2 linked regions of the Saccharomyces cerevisiae S288C genome follow. Changing the gene in region 1 together with any one later gene gives a genetic interaction. Each region holds a gene or a part of one and is shown in the gene's direction. Other genes may lie near its edges.

Region 1 (8,790 bases):
CCAACTCTAGACAGCAGTGAACCCTGTCACATCGAAGTTATCCTCAGGGCGATACCCGAAAAAGGATTACAAAACAATGAGTCGACCTTCAAAATAGACCCATATGAAAATACTGTGCTATTTCGCACAAACAATCCGTTACATGAGACAACCAAGGAGACCCATTCAACATTTCAATTCGATAAGGTATTCGATGCTAACGCCACTCAAGAAGATGTTCAGAAATTTCTGGTGCATCCAATAATAAATGATGTTTTGAATGGTTATAACGGTACTGTAATAACATATGGACCAAGTTTCAGCGGAAAGTCCTATTCCCTTATTGGATCAAAAGAAAGCGAAGGAATTCTACCGAACATATGCAAGACCTTGTTTGATACGCTAGAAAAAAATGAAGAAACAAAGGGAGATAGTTTTAGCGTAAGTGTTTTGGCATTCGAAATATATATGGAGAAAACGTATGACTTATTGGTACCTTTACCTGAAAGAAAACCATTAAAGCTTCACCGTTCTTCAAGCAAAATGGACTTAGAAATCAAAGATATTTGTCCGGCACATGTCGGATCGTATGAAGACTTAAGAAGCTACATTCAGGCAGTCCAAAACGTCGGCAATAGGATGGCATGTGGCGACAAGACAGAGAGATCAAGATCACACCTAGTTTTTCAATTACACGTAGAACAAAGGAATAGAAAAGATGATATATTAAAAAATAGTTCTTTATATCTGGTTGATTTACACGGGGCAGAGAAGTTCGATAAAAGAACTGAAAGTACGCTATCACAAGATGCGTTAAAAAAATTAAACCAATCTATTGAGGCGTTGAAAAACACTGTGCGGTCCTTGTCAATGAAAGAGCGTGATTCAGCCTACAGCGCAAAAGGATCACATAGTTCTGCTTACCGTGAATCGCAATTAACTGAAGTGTTAAAAGATTCCCTTGGGGGAAATAGGAAAACAAAGGTGATATTGACATGTTTCTTAAGTAATGTTCCAACTACCCTATCAACACTAGAATTTGGTGACAGTATTAGACAGATCAATAACAAGGTTACAGATAACACCACAGGTTTAAATCTGAAAAAAAAAATGGATCTATTTATTCAGGACATGAAAATTAAGGATGATAATTATGTTGCCCAAATTAATATACTAAAGGCTGAAATAGACTCTTTAAAAAGCCTTCACAATAAATCTCTTCCCGAAGACGACGAGAAAAAAATGTTAGAAAATACAAAGAAAGAAAATATCAAACTAAAGCTTCAATTAGACAGTATTACCCAATTATTGAGTAGTTCTACCAATGAAGATCCTAACAATCGTATTGACGAAGAAGTTTCTGAAATATTAACGAAAAGATGCGAACAGATTGCTCAGCTTGAGTTATCTTTTGATCGACAGATGAATTCCAATTCTAAGTTGCAGCAAGAGTTAGAATACAAAAAGTCAAAAGAGGAAGCCTTAGAGTCTATGAACGTTAGGCTACTAGAACAAATTCAGCTTCAGGAAAGAGAGATTCAAGAGCTTTTAACTACTAACGCCATCTTAAAGGGTGAACTAGAAACTCACACTAAACTTACTGAAACACGCAGTGAAAGGATAAAATCTTTGGAAAGTTCTGTCAAAGAGCTTTCTCTTAATAAATCTGCAATCCCATCTCCTAGAAGAGGGTCTATGAGCTCGTCATCAGGAAATACTATGTTGCATATCGAGGAGGGTTCTGAAATATCAAATAGCCCTTGGTCAGCCAATACTTCCTCAAAACCTTTAGTATGGGGCGCGAGAAAGGTTTCTTCTAGCAGTATAGCAACCACTGGATCACAGGAGTCTTTTGTGGCAAGACCGTTCAAGAAGGGATTAAACCTCCATTCGATAAAAGTCACTTCGAGTACTCCAAAAAGTCCCTCTTCTGGAAGCTGACTATAATTAAGTTCGATAATTGTACGATACAACTGTGTAGTATCTTTGTAATTATAATCATGATGATAACGCTAATAATTTGTACGTATAATGCTGACTGAAAGATGTACTTTTCTTCTACCGTTTTTCTTCGGCGGCTATTCGTTTACAATGATTTGGAAAAATGAGAAAAATTGAAAATAAAAAATTCTGCTCGATGAGATGAGATGAGGTTATGATATATATGTAAGAATTCCTCAAGAAGAGGTTGCAAGAGTCTGCAGACATTATCATGGCAGCAAATAGCAATAGTAGAGTTGCATCAAACCATACTTCTAAAAAACAAAAGGTTAGGAGGAATATACATCCATTCACGAATAACACTCGGATTAAAAGAGCTAGTAAAATCGTAAAGTTTAATGATTCAGGCGAGGGCGACCATGTTTCAGACCAACGTTCGAACAAGGAAAATGTCCTTACTTATAAATCTTTGAAAAGTCGGGCAAGCGATTTACTCAAAATGAGAGAAACACTTCCCGTTTACCAACACAAGCGAGAAATAATGTCATATATTGAAAGCAATCCCGTTACCGTCCTTATTGGTGAAACAGGTTCTGGTAAATCAACACAAATTCCGCAATTCGTATTAGAAAAATTATATGATACGAAGAAGCATGGGTCGATTGCTGTAACTCAACCCCGTCGTGTTGCGGCCATCAATTTGGCTACACGTGTTGCTCAAGAACATGGTTGCAAACTGGGTGAACAAGTAGGTTATTCTGTCAGATTTGACAATACGACTACTACAAGAACAAGACTTAAGTATCTGACTGACGGTATGTTACTTAGAGAACTTATGATGAATAGTGACCTTAGAGAATACAGCGTCATCGTTATCGATGAAGCGCATGAAAGAACTGTGCTTACAGATTTGATATTGGGGTTCTTAAAATCCTTGATACAAGGGCCAAGACCTGATTTGAGAATAATTGTTATGTCTGCAACATTGCAAGCCGAAAAATTTAGTGAGTTCTTCAATAATGCCCCAATCTTATTTGTAGAAGGAAGAAAATTTGATGTCAAACAATACTACTTGAAGGCGCCAACAGATGATATAGTAGACGCTGTCATCAGGTGTTGTATACAAATAAACCAAGGTGAAGAACTGGGAGATATCTTATGTTTTTTACCGGGCCAAGAAGAGATTGACAAAGCAGTGACTATAATGGAGAAAATTGCAAAGTATGTTTCAGATGAGGCCCCAGTACCATTAATAGTTCCTTATCCTTTATATGCAGCTCTTCCCGCGGTCCAACAGTCCTTGGTCTTCGCTCCGATAAAGGGTTTCAAGAGAAAAGTCGTCTTTAGTACCAATATTGCAGAAACATCTGTTACCATATCCGGTGTTAAATTTGTCGTTGATTCTGGTCTTCGAAAAGTCAAAGTTTGGAGACATCAGCTGGGATTAGCCACTCTACTTACCGTACCCATTTCTCAGGCAAGTGCGATGCAGAGAAGTGGTCGTGCTGGTAGAGAAAGTGAAGGAAAGAGTTTCAGGCTTTATTGTGAGTCTGATTATGTGAAATTACCTAAACAAAGTGAACCTGAAATAGCCAGAAGTGACGTCACATCTCCTGTGTTAATGTTGAAGAGATATGGTGTTGATGACCTGCTAAACTGGACCTGGTTTGAGAACCCTGGAAAGGAAGCTATAGTAATGGGGCTTCAGGAACTTTATGAATTGGGTGCTCTTGACACTCGTGGAAAGATAACTAAACGGGGTCAACAAATGGCTCTGTTACCGCTACAACCGCATTTAAGTAGTGTCTTAATTAAAGCCAGTGAAGTCGGATGTTTGAGTCAGGTCATTGATATCGTCTCTTGCCTTAGTGTGGAAAATTTACTGTTGAATCCGTCACCAGAAGAAAGAGATGAGGTGAACGAGCGTCGTTTGTCCTTATGCAACGCTGGTAAAAGGTATGGTGACCTTATCATGCTGAAAGAGCTTTTTGATATCTATTTCTACGAACTAGGGAAAAGTCAAGATGCAAGCTCTGAAAGAAATGATTGGTGTAAAGGATTGTGTATTTCGATACGTGGGTTTAAAAATGTAATTCGTGTCAGAGACCAGTTAAGAGTTTATTGTAAGCGTTTGTTTTCTTCAATCAGTGAAGAGGATGAAGAATCCAAAAAGATTGGTGAAGATGGCGAGCTAATTTCGAAAATTTTAAAGTGTTTCTTAACTGGGTTTATCAAGAATACAGCTATAGGGATGCCAGACAGGTCTTATAGAACTGTTTCCACTGGAGAGCCGATAAGCATTCATCCATCATCTATGCTATTTATGAATAAAAGCTGCCCCGGTATAATGTACACGGAGTATGTCTTTACTACGAAGGGATATGCCAGAAATGTTAGTAGGATTGAACTTTCATGGTTACAAGAAGTTGTCACTAATGCAGCCGCTGTAGCAAAGCAAAAAGTTTCTGATTCAAAATAAGTCACCTACTCTTAGCGCATTTTTATTGTATATAAAGGCATTTAATGTAATTTATAGAGCATTATAAATCGTAACAACTACTGCAGTATGAGTTTCATGGATTCATTTCTCAATATCTTATGAATATACACAGGTATATATGTATATTCATGTTAAACGCCTTTCGAATTGTTCGTTGGCTTTTTTTGTGAAATTATCTCGGGAAAAGGGCGAAATTATATTATTTTGCCGTTGACATTTTGAAAAGGAATAAAAGATCATGAAAAAAATAAGAAAGGCAATTCGACGCATTTCTCTCAGCAAGCTATTCTTTACTTTTGAAGAACAAAATATTTTAGCAAAAAGGTTAAGACAATATAGTCGGAAGCAGTTCTGCGGGATCTGAAGGAATTGCGGAATAATGAGATTTCACGATAGTATACTTATCTTCTTTTCTTTGGCATCGCTTTATCAACATGTTCATGGTGCAAGACAAGTCGTTCGTCCAAAGGAGAAAATGACTACTTCAGAAGAAGTTAAACCTTGGTTACGTACGGTTTATGGAAGTCAAAAAGAATTAGTCACTCCTACGGTCATTGCCGGTGTCACTTTTTCTGAAAAACCAGAAGAAACACCAAATCCATTGAAACCTTGGGTATCTTTAGAGCATGATGGTAGGCCAAAAACCATTAAACCAGAAATCAACAAAGGTCGAACCAAGAAGGGAAGACCTGATTACTCAACTTACTTCAAAACGGTAAGTTCCCACACATATTCTTATGAAGAATTGAAGGCTCACAATATGGGCCCTAATGAAGTTTTTGTAGAAGAAGAGTATATTGATGAAGATGACACCTACGTCTCCCTGAATCCTATTGTCAGATGTACTCCTAATCTTTACTTCAATAAAGGTCTAGCAAAGGATATCCGCAGTGAGCCATTTTGTACCCCTTATGAGAATTCTAGATGGAAGGTTGACAAGACTTACTTCGTTACTTGGTATACAAGATTTTTTACAGATGAGAATTCCGGTAAAGTTGCTGATAAGGTTCGTGTTCATTTGTCCTATGTTAAAGAAAACCCCGTAGAGAAGGGCAATTATAAAAGAGATATCCCTGCAACTTTTTTCTCTTCCGAATGGATTGATAATGACAACGGTCTAATGCCGGTTGAGGTCAGAGATGAATGGCTGCAGGACCAATTTGATCGTAGGATCGTTGTATCAGTTCAGCCAATATACATATCAGATGAAGATTTCGATCCACTACAATACGGTATTTTATTATACATCACTAAGGGTTCAAAAGTGTTTAAGCCTACTAAGGAGCAACTGGCTTTAGACGATGCAGGTATAACAAATGATCAGTGGTATTATGTTGCATTATCTATCCCTACTGTCGTGGTGGTATTTTTCGTCTTCATGTACTTTTTCTTATATGTCAACGGGAAAAACAGAGATTTCACAGATGTTACTAGAAAAGCTTTAAACAAGAAACGCCGTGTTTTGGGTAAGTTCTCGGAGATGAAGAAATTCAAAAACATGAAAAATCACAAGTACACCGAATTGCCATCTTATAAGAAAACCAGTAAACAAAATTAGATTCCCTTCGAAGTATGCATTCACCCTTCCTCGAGAGGGCTGTTTTTATCTTCCGTCACACTAATAGAAAACCACTCTATCCAGTTTTTTTTGTTACTTAACTTATCTTAACTCGATATTGTATAAATACTGAAGTCCATATACTTCTTTTTTTCTCCTTTGGATAGTAAATACGGTAAATTAAAATTAGTGTAAACTGAACAATATTAACATATATAAATCATCTGTACGACAATTTGATACCAAATAAATAGAGAATGCATCAGCATCCTCCAGGGTTCAAAAGAAAACGCTGGATCTTGCTTCTTTTCCTTTGATTTCTCCTTATATCCATTTCTGTCTTGCAGCAACTTCACATATTTTTTCCAGTGTAATGACCCTTGGATCAGGCTTAAAATGACGCTCAACCACATTATCATCTCCTTCCACATTCCTGCTAAGTAAGCTTTCTTCGTCGCCCTCGCTATTGTCCACATTATCTTCATCTTCATCATCATCTCCGCCGACGTCTTCAATGTAGTAGAAAAAGGGTTCCAACACCAACATAATTTTCCAGAAGTTGTTCGTGCCACAATTAGCAAACAAGACATCTACAAGGGCAGGTAGGTATTCCAATTCAATGTACTCCTCTGCGCAACAAACAAATTCATCTAATTCGTAATCTTGCTCATCAGCAGATAATGTAGAATACATTTCTGATAACAACGTTAATTCTTTGCTAATTGTTTTTGGAATATCTTCTCGAGCTTGCCATAACAGCTTTTGCGCTCTTTCCAGTCTTTCTTGGCTAACGGCATCATCCTTGCTCTCTTTTTCGCCTTTATCACCTTGGACATTTTCGGAGTCTTGTAGAGAAGGCAAGAATCCGTTCTTTTCGCTTTTGACCATAAGCTCATTGTATTCGTTATAGAGGGAGATAATTTTCATCATAGGCTTGTATAATTGCTGACAGACTTTCATTTCCGAGTAAGGTACAATGACTTTTTCCAAATAGTGATTGATCAGTCCTTCCATGAAGTTTGCCCAAATTGACGAAAATACATAATCCTCGTCGTAAGTCGATTCCGTAAAATCTTGGTTGATGTTATGCTGTATGATTTGCTCTGTAAGAGTTGGGAAAAGGTTTTTATGGCTTTTGACCATTTCATCTCTCAAAGCAGTAGATCCAGCGCTATCTGCTCCTTTAGTAGAATTTTCCAAACTATTATCTGTTGAAGACGCCTCTGAGTTCTTTTCACCATCTGTCTTATCTAGCCAGTATTCCGGACCACCCTTTTCAGACAATGTCACCAATAAAAGGAAGAGTTTTACTTTAACCCACGGGTTTAGCGAGTTTACATAGGCGTCCGTAATTTTGCTAACATCGATATTTATTTTTCTATGGATGCATTTGATAAATTTTTCAATGTAATGTGATTTTTTCAATCCGTATTTTTCATTCAGATATCCAACCGAAGTGATTACGTCGTAATTTGTATTTTCCATGTTCGTATGCTTCAAAAAGTTGAATGTTAACTTTCGTCTATTTCCATAATGTCTTTCTCTTTTCTCCTCACCTTTCTTCTTTCTTCTAATCTTTTTTTCTTTTGAAGCACCCAATTTAAGACATCTTTTACAGGTACAGTCCTTTAACGATGGCTCGTTGGCCGCTTGCTTGGGCAATAAATCTTTAGCCATCTTCTTTGGCGCGCTATACTAGGCTTGATTTATAATGTTAGTTATTCCAAAAATGTGAAGGAAATTGATCAAGGCAAGCTCTAATGATGATTATTGACCCATGCAACAAAAAAAGTTTGAATTCTCTTAATTTTCCAGATCGCAAGTTAGTAGTCAATCTGCTAACTTTCGTTATATTTCAAAAAAGTAATTGTACAAAAAAAGTCACCAAAAACGAGGACTTTTTTCACTGCGTTAAAGATTAGATCTACATAATGAATACTCAATTCTTTACTTAATTTCGCTCTACAAAATAGACCATTTAGGAAAGTTGGGTTGCTTCCATCATGTCAAAGTCGTCCTCATCTATATAAGTACACAGAACAGTGCGATCGTTGAATTGCGTACCCGGCAATTCTTCCATTGCGTGTTTTGCTGCCTCCAAGGTCTTGAACTTGATATAAATATTACCGGCTCCGGAAGCCAAGTTTTCAAAATTAAGTCTGTAATCGACGCCGGGTTGGCATATTTTAATCGTATCTGCTCCCGCGATACTATACTTTAATGTTTCTTTAATTTCTGTGATAAAGGTTTCATCTTTCAAATCCAATGGATCAAGACAATTTAAGAGCAACAAAACTCTCGATTCAACACGAACAGATTGGGTAACCAGATTTGGCAGGCTTTGAAACGTAATCCATGAAGTAACTTGTGATATCTTTCCATCATTTGGCTTGAACCATTTGTATGGTTTTAATTTATCAAGAATATCCTGAGTGACGACTTCAAACGATAATAGAATACATTTAGTGAATTCGGATTCTTTGCCAGTGTTGTTTGTATTGGACGAACATTTGTAAAAAAGTGGCTTAGCGGTACCGTTTGTTACATTCAATGACGAAAAAAGCTCTTTCATTCTATAATCTTCACCCTCGCCTATATTTTCCAAATTTTCCAATGCAATTACCGTACCCCTGCAAAAATCGACCAGATGATCAAGTTGTTGAACATAATCATTAGGTCTTCTCCATTTTAAGTCGAAAGTACCAAGCTTCGCATTAAAGAATGATCGACAGGCCAAAACCATAGTGCTACAGATCTGAGAACTAAACTCAACAATAATATGGTCCGGCCTTCCTTCACCAATATAAAAGTT
Region 2 (11,447 bases), on another chromosome or scaffold:
GCCCGCTATTGAATTTGAGACGCCCACCTTTTTAGTTTCCAATGACGATGAGGTCAGCCAATTCTGTTACGTTTCTGATGATGAATCAAATGGGGAGGTGCTTGAAGTTGGAAAAAACAACTTCTGCGCTTTGTATAACTTAAGTAATCCTTAACCTCTTTCGTACTAGTAACTTTTTCAAAAAAGTTCACTTCGCTGCATGAGCTTGGCGTAATGCGCTTTGAGGGTGATAATGCATTTTATTTCCATATGAAATATGTCTAAAATAGAACAATTCACTAAGAACAAGAAGGCCAAACTAAGCAGAATATGGTAGAGTTGACAATTACGGGTGATGATGATGATATATTGAGTATGTTTTTTGATGAGGAGTTCGTTCCCCATGCATTCGTTGATATACTCTTATCAAATGCCTTAAACGAAGATCAGATTCAAACGCAATCAGTATCCTCATTGCTATTAACCAGGTTGGATTTTTACACAAAGAACCTTACAAAAGAGTTGGAAAGCACCATATGGAATTTGGATAAATTATCTCAAACGTTACCAAGAACTTGGGCATCTTCTAGGTATCACAAAGAAGCAGAACAGAACGATTCCTCATTGTATTCTACTGAATCCTTAAAATCATCGAAGCTTGAATATTACTTAGATACGTTGGCAAGTGCTGTAAGAGCATTAGAAACAGGAATGCATAATGTAACTGAGAAACTAAGCGATCTAGATAACGAAAATAATCGCAATACCAATGTGAGGCAACAACTGCAAAGTTTAATGTTGATTAAGGAGAGAATTGAAAAAGTGGTATATTACCTGGAACAAGTTAGGACCGTTACGAATATTTCGACAGTTAGAGAAAATAATACAACCAGCACGGGGACAGATCTTTCGATAACAGATTTTAGAACATCATTGAAAGCATTAGAGGATACAATCGATGAATCTTTAAGCTCTGCGATTGATAACGAGGCTAAAGATGAAACAAACAAGGATTTGATTGGGAGAATTGATTCACTTTCTGAACTGAAATGTCTGTTTAAAGGCCTAGATAAGTTCTTTGCTGAGTATAGCAACTTTTCGGAGAGCATAAAATCAAAAGCACAAAGTTATTTATCAACCAAGAATATTGACGATGGTATGATATCATAATCGGTGATAAAAACAAAAAATTTGCAATTAACAAAAGAAATTTATAGCATGTTTAAATTCTTATTTCTTTTTACCATTTCCAGTCCTTTTGGTCCACTTGTAATGCATAAAAGGGTAAAAAGGAATTTGTTTAGGAGGACATGCTATTTCAGATAGTTTCTTTTTATTGATTATATAATATAGTGTACAATTTTGAAAATATAACTATTACACACATCTTTTCATTTGGTCACTTACATTTGTATAAACATATAGAGCGCGTCTATTAATAAAAGGCGGTGGACTCTGGACTATCAGATTCCTCCAACAGCGCTTCTTCATCGTCGTGTTTTCCAGTATGGTTTTTTCTGAGGAACTCGAGTCCAAATACGTACTTGAATCTTTGAACGAAAGCAGCCGGAAATACCTTCACTGCTACTTCATCGGGGCAGATTCTCACTAGCACCCCCATGATTAGAGACAACATACCACACAGTACCGCGGTTATCCACATTGATTTGGTTTGTCTGGCAATAGAAAATGGTGCGCCACCAAAAAACATGATTAAAACTTGACAGCTGCCAATGATCGCCATGATCGTGAGAAAATAATAGTTTCTACCCAAGTCTTGGAAGAAATTCAAATTGGCGGCAGAAATCCTGCCTCTCCAGTTTGATATACCATCACCTTCATCTAATTTTCTCGATACTAACATGGTAAAAAATTGCAACCAAACAAAAGTGTTGAATGTCATGGCATTCAGTTGCTGCTGTTGGTGACTTGTTATTTCATCTTCATGTTTCTTGAAGAATAACTCTGGCCCGTAAAAATGCAAAATGAAAGTAACTATCAACTGCAATGTAGCTTGTGATAGAATCATTTTCCAAGTTGACACAGAAATCAAAGAAGTTGAGCGGCCCCTAGGTTTTCTGTCCATGATATTTGGATCGGGTTTATCAGTGGCTAAAGCTAAAGCTGCTAGAGTATCCATGATTAGATTGATCCATAACAGTTGGACCGCCGTCAGTACTGATGTTTCATCACTAGATGCAACGGATGAAACGAACGTTAAAATCACTGCGGTGATATTAACAATTAATTGAAACTGTATGAACTTTTTTATGGAGACTGAAACACATCTTCCCCACTTAATAGCGTTGACAATAGCTGAGAAATCATCAGTCATCAAAATAATGTCAGAAGCCTCTCTGGCAACCTCCGTACCGGAAATACCCATTGAGAAACCAACATCAGCTAGCTTTAAAGCTGGAGCATCGTTCGTACCATCGCCAGTGACCGCAACAACATCTCCCATCCCCTTCAATGTTTCTACTAATAACCTTTTATCCTCAGGCGAAGACCTTGCTAAGACCCTTAAATTTGGCAGGATTCTTATACGTTCGTTTTTCGTTAACTTTCTGAATTCAGTGCCTTCCATTGCAGAATAAGCCTCTGAACTAATATCAGTAGAAAGAATCGCACAATTCCTCGCGATTGCTTTTGCTGTTAATATATTGTCACCAGTAACCATACGCACAGTTACACCAGCACGTTGGCACTGTTGTACTGACTCCCTAACGCCTGCACGTAAAGGGTCTTGAATCCCAAGTAAACCATCTAGAATTAAGCCCTTTTGACTGTTAAATAGCAAGTCAAGAGCAGCTATATTTGGTGAGTCTTTATCACGCAGCTGTTCAGGGGGCCAGCTATCACATTCGCAGAAATCTTTGTGGGCAACACTTATGGCTCTGAGAGCATCGGACGCAAGATTTTTGATTTCATCATCAGTTTCTTTTTTATTGTCCTCATTGATTTCTTCCAAAGTATCATCTGAATTCCTCTTGTACGAACAATTCTTGGAAACAATTTCTGCTGCACCTTTAATGAAAAACCTGTAAAATGGTTTTTTATTTTTGCCTTCTTTGTACTTTACCACTAAGCCGGCCCATTTACGAGAACTTTCAAACGGAATTGTTTGAACAACTTTTTCGATATTAAACTTTTCCATCGGTTGATCTCTCAAATATTGCAATTCTCCCGGTTGTAATCCTAATGATAATCTTGCCAAACTGAGTAAGGCTGTTTCCGTTTTAGAGCCAATAAAGGGTTCTTGCCTACCCTTGTTGACATTTTTGAATAATTGATCCTCGTCATCTTCCCTGTTGCCTTTTTTAAAAAACGATAATCTAGATTTACACTTATCTAAAAAACTCAAATTTTTTGACATATTTTTACTACCATTTGTATTTTTATCGTTTTTCTTATAATCTCTGTTTTCGAAGGCGGTAGAATTCAGGACAATATTGGCTAATAAATCATTTCTCAAGGATGACGAACAATTTTCTTCAAAAACTTTCTTAGAATTCAGCTTCCTTTGTTCGCTAACGGGCAACGATTTACTATCATCAAATTTAGAATTGCCCGGGAAGCCACGAACGACAGTCATGACATTTTCTGTCAAAGTGCCAGTCTTATCAGAGCACACTGCAGTAGCAGATCCCATCGTTTCACAGCTTCTTAAAACCCGTACTAAATTACCGTCTTTTGTCATTCTTGTTGTTGCAAACGCTAAGGCCAAAGTTACAGCTAATGGTAAACCTTCCGGAACAGCCACCACAATAACCGTGATAGATGTGATAAAAATGTTCATAAATTTAGAACCCTTTTGAGCGGGATCTAGATCATGGAACCTGCCATCCTCAGGTATTATGTAAAATAAGTACCTAGTGAAAAGGACCAAGAAAAGAATTATAGCAGACACGCAACCGTAAACGGATATATTATCAGCCAATTGGCTCAAATGTAACTGTAATGGAGTACTTTCAGGTTCGGCATTTAATGAAGTCATGGTTTGACCGTAAACTGAGTTTATACCCACGGACGTGATGACACCCCTGCCCAAGCCAGAGAGAATTCTGGAACCTGAAATCAACATACAATCAGCAATCTTGTTACCGTCTTCGTTAACGTCACCTATATCTAATGGTTTGCTATGGTTATGACTATCGATAGAATTAAATTTTTTGAAATCTCTTAATGAGTTATCCACCGGAAATTTCTGTATTGTGTTAGATTCACCAGTGATGGATGATTCATCTGCCTCACACTTCCCTGATATCATAACACAATCAGCGGGGACAACATCACCGGTTTGTAATGAAATGACATCACCGACTAAAACGTGGTGAATGGAAATTAATATTTCCTGATCATTTCTTATGACTATAATTTTACGGTTTTCCTTCTTTTTATTTAGCTTTGCAAATTGCAACTCCTTCTGGTAATCGTTAGCGGCACTCACTAGAACTACCACAAAGACCGCAATCATGATAGCAACCCCTTCAATCCAGTCAACTTGCTTAATTTTATTTCCTTCAGGATCATACTGTGGAGGTTGCATCCATAGTTCGTATAGACCTAAAACAAAGGAAACAACAGCGGCGACTGTCAGTAATTGCATTGTTTTGTCATTAAAAGCAGCCCATACTAATTGTAAAAAAGACTTTGGTATTCTTTCAGGAAGTGAATTATCGCCATAATTTTTATACCGGTTTGTCTTTCGATAATTTGATATTTCTGGAAGAGAAATGCCTGCATTTTTATCTGTTTTCAAGTATTTGAAGAGGCTGTTAGACTCATATCCAAATAATCTGACAAATGATCTTATTGATTTAGGGTTATGAAGATCCGAAAGTTGACTTTTTGATAATTTGAAATTATCGTAGACTCCGTTCTCATTTCCCGTATACGATGGTTTGTTATTTTCATTATTCGCTAGTAAAGCAGAATTTTCGTCTTGTCTAGACATTATTTTTTTTGTTACGCACACAGTTTTTTTTTTTTTAGAACCACTTTTCTAAACTTTATTTGTTCAAGTTTTATTTCTTTAATTCAATGTCGTATATATGTGATACAATTCTCTTAATACACTTAGTTTTTACTGGAGGCGCATGAGTTTTTTGACGTTTTCTTAAGCCTTTCTATTGAATGAAAATTACCAGAAAAGCCCCTTCTTCCTCAAATTTATGAAAAAATGTTTATTCTTAACCTAAGCCTTCTCAATTGAATCGTGCCAACCTGACTAAAATGTAGTTTGGGGAAGTGAAAAAATCTGAAGAGATTATTTAATTTTTCGTTAAGCCTGCAATTTATTTTGGTAATAATTGCTAGAAAGAAATCGAATATTTAACGCAATTCAAATAAAGCCTTTCCTTGGGGGGGGGCTGATACTATTTGAATGTTTTTGGAAGGCGCCCATTAAATGCAATGCCAAGTGGCGATGATAATGAATTATGAAGATTAGCATTTGTTTAAAAAGCGTGGAGGGCGCTTCTAGGGCCTGAGCCTCCTAATTTTCTTTTCCCCCTGACAAATGATGGAGAAGCTTCTTTGCCGGGTAAAAACCCTTTTTTTTTATCTTTTCTGCGGGCGGATAAAGCTGTTAGTGCCACATGTTTCTATACAAACTGTATTAAAGTAAAAAAATTAATAGACAATTTAGGCCCCTCAAATGGGTAAAATAGAACATATATCAGTATGCACAGCTCACTATTTTAAAAGCGGCAGGCTTGGAGCTGTAGGACCACACTACTGCGACAAAAAAAGATAAAGTTGTGTTTTATTTATGTTTTGCCGTAAGATCGATACTTTTCTTATTCTCATCAAGAAAACACAAACTGCCAAGAACTAAGAAAAGAAGAGCCGTAAACAATGCTTGTAAACCGAAGTATGAAAAGAAAAACTTGATAATTAAATCATCCCCTTTGGCTCAAATATTTATTTTGTATTATTCATGCTTGATTAGTTTAAGAGTGAACTTTACTATCTTAATTTTATTTTAGCCTTTTCAGCTTATGGCACAATAGTGAAAACAAGATCATGTTAAGTTCTGTACCAGAAGAGAGAACCGATAAATAGTTTAATAAGCAGATCAATGCCAAGAATAAGATAAAACAACTATGGAGACTGATGTAAATATACTTGAAGCCGGGCAATAATATAAGCACCGTGAGCCGATTCTCCTCGATCCTACACTGCACCATATAACGAATGGTCTTGGACTATGGAAGGCAGTAACCAACAACAGAAAAGAGAGATTAATTAGAAAAAGACATTTCTCGAGAGAAAAAAAGTAAAGACCTTATCGTACAACTGTTACTGACATTTTTATTTTAAGAAGCTAAACCCTTATTATTAGCGCGCCCAAGTAGGCGCAAAACTAGAGAAGTCGCAGATGCATCCACCCACTTTTTGCCTTATTTTTCCTTAATTTCAGAAATATAGTTAAAATGAAAAACAAGGACAAGAAAAGAACGGGAAAAAGAAAAGGGGGATTAGCAAACAAAGAAAAGTCCAATAAAATGATTACAGACAGCATTGGATGCGATGAGATGGCAACCAGCGAGATGAGAGCATAGGATTTTCATCCTAGCTGCTTTAGGGAAGACGCACAAAACTTTGTTATGTTTGTAGTAAATATAGAAAAGAAAACAAAAAAGTGCTCGGACGAATCCGGTAGAGCTGTGTCTAGCCTCAATAAGTTTGCCGCATTTGGTAAATCAAAACTGTTTTTCTCTCCGTCATTTGTTTTGAAGCTTGTTCTGTTAGTTTAGGGAAATAGAAAAAAAAAAAAAGGGAAAAAGAAAGAAATCATATGCCCAATGGAGTACGAGAATTGGGGAAAAAGCCTCCATCGGGTTTTTAAACGGGCGTATACATGCTTACCACACTCCCGTAAGCAAGAACAAAGAATTTATCTTGATAAACTGCGTAATAAGTCAATCAATTGCTCTATATACGCGCATATACGTAAAACACAGAATCACATTTTAGTCAGGCCCAAGCCGTATAGGGCGAAAAAGCCCGCGCTTATCAAGTCATCGTAACGAATCAGATCTTTCCAACTGCTATCGCATACGTAAGAGAATTGAAATATTTCTCGGGTACGATACGACATTTTTTCTTTACATTTCTTTACTAAACCCGACGGCACGGGAAAGAAGATGAGACTCGGAACGGAAGCTAGAAGAAAAAGGAAGGACACAGAGATTTTCCGAGATTAACTCAGCTTTGCTAAAGTGCAAAAAGTCGTTTACGTCACCATCGCTGACGGGGAAAAAACAAAACAAGCTTCCTGAAACGGAGAAACATAAACAGGCATTGCTGGGATCACCCATACATCACTCTGTTTTGCCTGACCTTTTCCGGTAATTTGAAAACAAACCCGGTCTCGAAGCGGAGATCCGGCGATAATTACCGCAGAAATAAACCCATACACGAGACGTAGAACCAGCCGCACATGGCCGGAGAAACTCCTGCGAGAATTTCGTAAACTCGCGCGCATTGCATCTGTATTTCCTAATGCGGCACTTCCAGGCCTCGAGACCTCTGACATGCTTTTGACAGGAATAGACATTTTCAGAATGTTATCCATATGCCTTTCGGGTTTTTTTCCTTCCTTTTCCATCATGAAAAATCTCTCGAGACCGTTTATCCATTGCTTTTTTGTTGTCTTTTTCCCTCGTTCACAGAAAGTCTGAAGAAGCTATAGTAGAACTATGAGCTTTTTTTGTTTCTGTTTTCCTTTTTTTTTTTTTTACCTCTGTGGAAATTGTTACTCTCACACTCTTTAGTTCGTTTGTTTGTTTTGTTTATTCCAATTATGACCGGTGACGAAACGTGGTCGATGGTGGGTACCGCTTATGCTCCCCTCCATTAGTTTCGATTATATAAAAAGGCCAAATATTGTATTATTTTCAAATGTCCTATCATTATCGTCTAACATCTAATTTCTCTTAAATTTTTTCTCTTTCTTTCCTATAACACCAATAGTGAAAATCTTTTTTTCTTCTATATCTACAAAAACTTTTTTTTTCTATCAACCTCGTTGATAAATTTTTTCTTTAACAATCGTTAATAATTAATTAATTGGAAAATAACCATTTTTTCTCTCTTTTATACACACATTCAAAAGAAAGAAAAAAAATATACCCCAGCTAGTTAAAGAAAATCATTGAAAAGAATAAGAAGATAAGAAAGATTTAATTATCAAACAATATCAATATGACTGATACATCATCCTCTTCATCATCCTCTTCAGCATCTTCTGTTTCAGCTCATCAGCCAACTCAAGAAAAGCCTGCTAAGACTTACGATGACGCTGCATCTGAATCTTCTGACGATGACGATATCGATGCTTTAATCGAAGAACTACAATCTAATCACGGTGTCGACGACGAAGACAGTGATAACGATGGTCCAGTTGCCGCCGGTGAAGCTAGACCAGTTCCAGAAGAATATTTACAAACTGACCCATCTTACGGTTTAACTTCCGATGAAGTTTTGAAAAGAAGAAAGAAGTACGGTTTGAATCAAATGGCTGACGAAAAAGAATCTTTAGTCGTTAAGTTCGTTATGTTTTTCGTCGGTCCAATTCAATTCGTTATGGAAGCCGCTGCTATTTTGGCTGCCGGTTTGTCCGATTGGGTCGATTTCGGTGTTATCTGTGGTTTGTTAATGTTAAACGCTGGTGTTGGTTTCGTTCAAGAATTCCAAGCTGGTTCTATTGTCGATGAATTGAAAAAGACTTTGGCTAACACTGCTGTTGTTATCAGAGACGGTCAATTGGTTGAAATTCCAGCCAACGAAGTCGTCCCAGGTGATATTTTGCAATTGGAAGATGGTACTGTTATCCCAACTGATGGTCGTATTGTCACTGAAGACTGTTTCTTGCAAATCGATCAATCTGCTATTACTGGTGAATCTTTGGCTGTCGACAAACATTACGGTGACCAAACTTTCTCTTCTTCCACTGTTAAGAGAGGTGAAGGTTTCATGGTTGTTACCGCTACCGGTGACAACACTTTCGTTGGTAGAGCTGCTGCTTTGGTTAACAAAGCCGCTGGTGGTCAAGGTCATTTCACTGAAGTTTTGAACGGTATTGGTATTATCTTATTGGTTTTGGTCATTGCCACTTTGTTGTTGGTCTGGACTGCTTGTTTCTACAGAACCAACGGTATTGTTAGAATCTTGAGATACACTCTAGGTATTACTATTATTGGTGTCCCAGTCGGTTTGCCAGCTGTCGTTACCACCACTATGGCCGTCGGTGCTGCTTACTTGGCTAAGAAACAAGCCATTGTTCAAAAGTTGTCTGCTATTGAATCCTTGGCTGGTGTCGAAATCTTGTGTTCCGACAAAACCGGTACTTTGACCAAGAACAAGTTGTCCTTGCACGAACCATACACTGTTGAAGGTGTTTCTCCAGACGACTTGATGTTGACTGCTTGTTTGGCTGCTTCCAGAAAGAAGAAGGGTTTGGATGCTATTGATAAGGCTTTCTTGAAGTCTTTGAAGCAATATCCAAAGGCTAAGGACGCTTTGACCAAGTACAAGGTTTTGGAATTCCATCCATTTGACCCTGTCTCCAAGAAGGTTACTGCCGTTGTCGAATCTCCAGAAGGTGAAAGAATTGTTTGTGTTAAGGGTGCTCCATTATTCGTCTTGAAGACTGTCGAAGAAGATCACCCAATCCCAGAAGATGTCCATGAAAACTACGAAAACAAGGTTGCTGAATTGGCTTCTAGAGGGTTCCGTGCTTTAGGTGTTGCTAGAAAGAGAGGTGAAGGTCACTGGGAAATCTTGGGTGTTATGCCATGTATGGATCCACCAAGAGACGATACTGCTCAAACTGTTAGCGAAGCTAGACACTTGGGTCTAAGAGTTAAGATGTTAACTGGTGATGCTGTTGGTATTGCTAAGGAAACTTGTAGACAATTGGGTTTGGGTACCAACATTTACAACGCTGAAAGATTAGGTCTAGGTGGCGGTGGTGACATGCCAGGTTCTGAATTAGCTGATTTTGTTGAAAATGCCGATGGTTTCGCTGAAGTTTTCCCACAACATAAATACAGAGTTGTTGAAATCTTGCAAAACAGAGGTTACTTGGTTGCTATGACTGGTGATGGTGTTAACGATGCTCCATCTTTGAAGAAGGCTGATACTGGTATTGCTGTCGAAGGTGCTACTGATGCTGCCAGATCTGCTGCTGATATTGTTTTCTTGGCTCCTGGTCTATCTGCTATTATTGATGCTTTGAAGACCTCCAGACAAATTTTTCACAGAATGTACTCTTACGTTGTTTACCGTATTGCTTTGTCTCTACATTTGGAAATCTTCTTGGGTCTATGGATTGCTATTTTGGATAACTCTTTGGACATTGATTTGATTGTTTTCATCGCTATTTTCGCTGATGTTGCTACTTTGGCTATTGCTTACGATAATGCTCCTTACTCTCCAAAGCCCGTTAAATGGAACCTACCAAGATTATGGGGTATGTCTATTATTTTGGGCATAGTTTTAGCTATAGGTTCTTGGATTACCTTGACTACTATGTTCTTACCAAAGGGTGGTATTATCCAAAACTTCGGTGCTATGAACGGTATTATGTTCTTGCAAATTTCCTTGACTGAAAACTGGTTGATTTTCATTACCAGAGCTGCTGGTCCATTCTGGTCTTCTATCCCATCCTGGCAATTGGCTGGTGCCGTCTTCGCTGTCGACATCATCGCTACCATGTTTACCTTATTCGGTTGGTGGTCTGAAAACTGGACTGATATTGTTACTGTCGTCCGTGTCTGGATCTGGTCTATCGGTATCTTCTGTGTTTTGGGTGGTTTCTACTACGAAATGTCCACTTCTGAAGCCTTTGACAGATTGATGAACGGTAAGCCAATGAAGGAAAAGAAGTCTACCAGAAGTGTCGAAGACTTCATGGCTGCTATGCAAAGAGTCTCTACTCAACACGAAAAGGAAACCTAATCCTGTTGAAGTAGCATTTAATCATAATTTTTGTCACATTTTAATCAACTTGATTTTTCTGGTTTAATTTTTCTAATTTTAATTTTAATTTTTTTATCAATGGGAACTGATACACTAAAAAGAATTAGGAGCCAACAAGAATAAGCCGCTTATTTCCTACTAGAGTTTGCTTAAAATTTCATCTCGAATTGTCATTCTAATATTTTATCCACACACACACCTTAAAATTTTTAGATTAAATGGCATCAACTCTTAGCTTCACACACACACACACACCGAAGCTGGTTGTTTTATTTGATTTGATATAATTGGTTTCTCTGGATGGTACTTTTTCTTTCTTGGTTATTTCCTATTTTAAAATATGAAACGCACACAAGTCATAATTATTCTAATAGAGCACAATTCACAACACGCACATTTCAACTTTAATATTTTTTTAGAAACACTTTATTTAGTCTAATTCTTAATTTTTAATATATATAATGCACACACACTAATTT

The links.
Region 2: mutations in PSG1 (region 1) and PMA1 together harm fitness more than expected from each alone (negative genetic interaction), as found in Saccharomyces cerevisiae (2 studies listed by BioGRID).

The regions. Positions count from the first base shown.
Region 1 is NC_001143.9:286,654-295,443, forward strand, and holds PSG1 (Psg1p), read left to right. Parts: upstream 1-4,799; coding exon 4,800-5,978; downstream 5,979-8,790. Other genes in the region: SMY1 (Smy1p), read left to right, coding at 1-1,920; DHR2 (RNA helicase), read left to right, coding at 2,192-4,399; AAN1 (Aan1p), read right to left, coding at 6,303-7,655; MUD2 (Mud2p), read right to left, coding at 7,957-8,790. UniProt on the Saccharomyces cerevisiae protein: With EXP1, the specific cargo receptor protein for the plasma membrane ATPase PMA1, is involved in the transport and/or maturation of PMA1.
Region 2 is NC_001139.9:479,410-490,856, reverse strand, and holds PMA1 (H(+)-exporting P2-type ATPase PMA1), read left to right. Parts: upstream 1-8,190; coding exon 8,191-10,947; downstream 10,948-11,447. Other genes in the region: RPN14 (Rpn14p), read left to right, coding at 1-154; Golgi transport complex subunit COG7, read left to right, coding at 310-1,149; calcium-transporting ATPase PMC1, read right to left, coding at 1,415-4,936; YGL006W-A (uncharacterized protein), read right to left, coding at 5,324-5,434; BRP1 (Brp1p), read right to left, coding at 7,220-7,597; YGL007C-A (uncharacterized protein), read left to right, coding at 7,830-7,916. UniProt on the Saccharomyces cerevisiae protein: The plasma membrane ATPase of plants and fungi is a hydrogen ion pump. The proton gradient it generates drives the active transport of nutrients by H(+)-symport. The resulting external acidification and/or internal alkinization may mediate growth responses.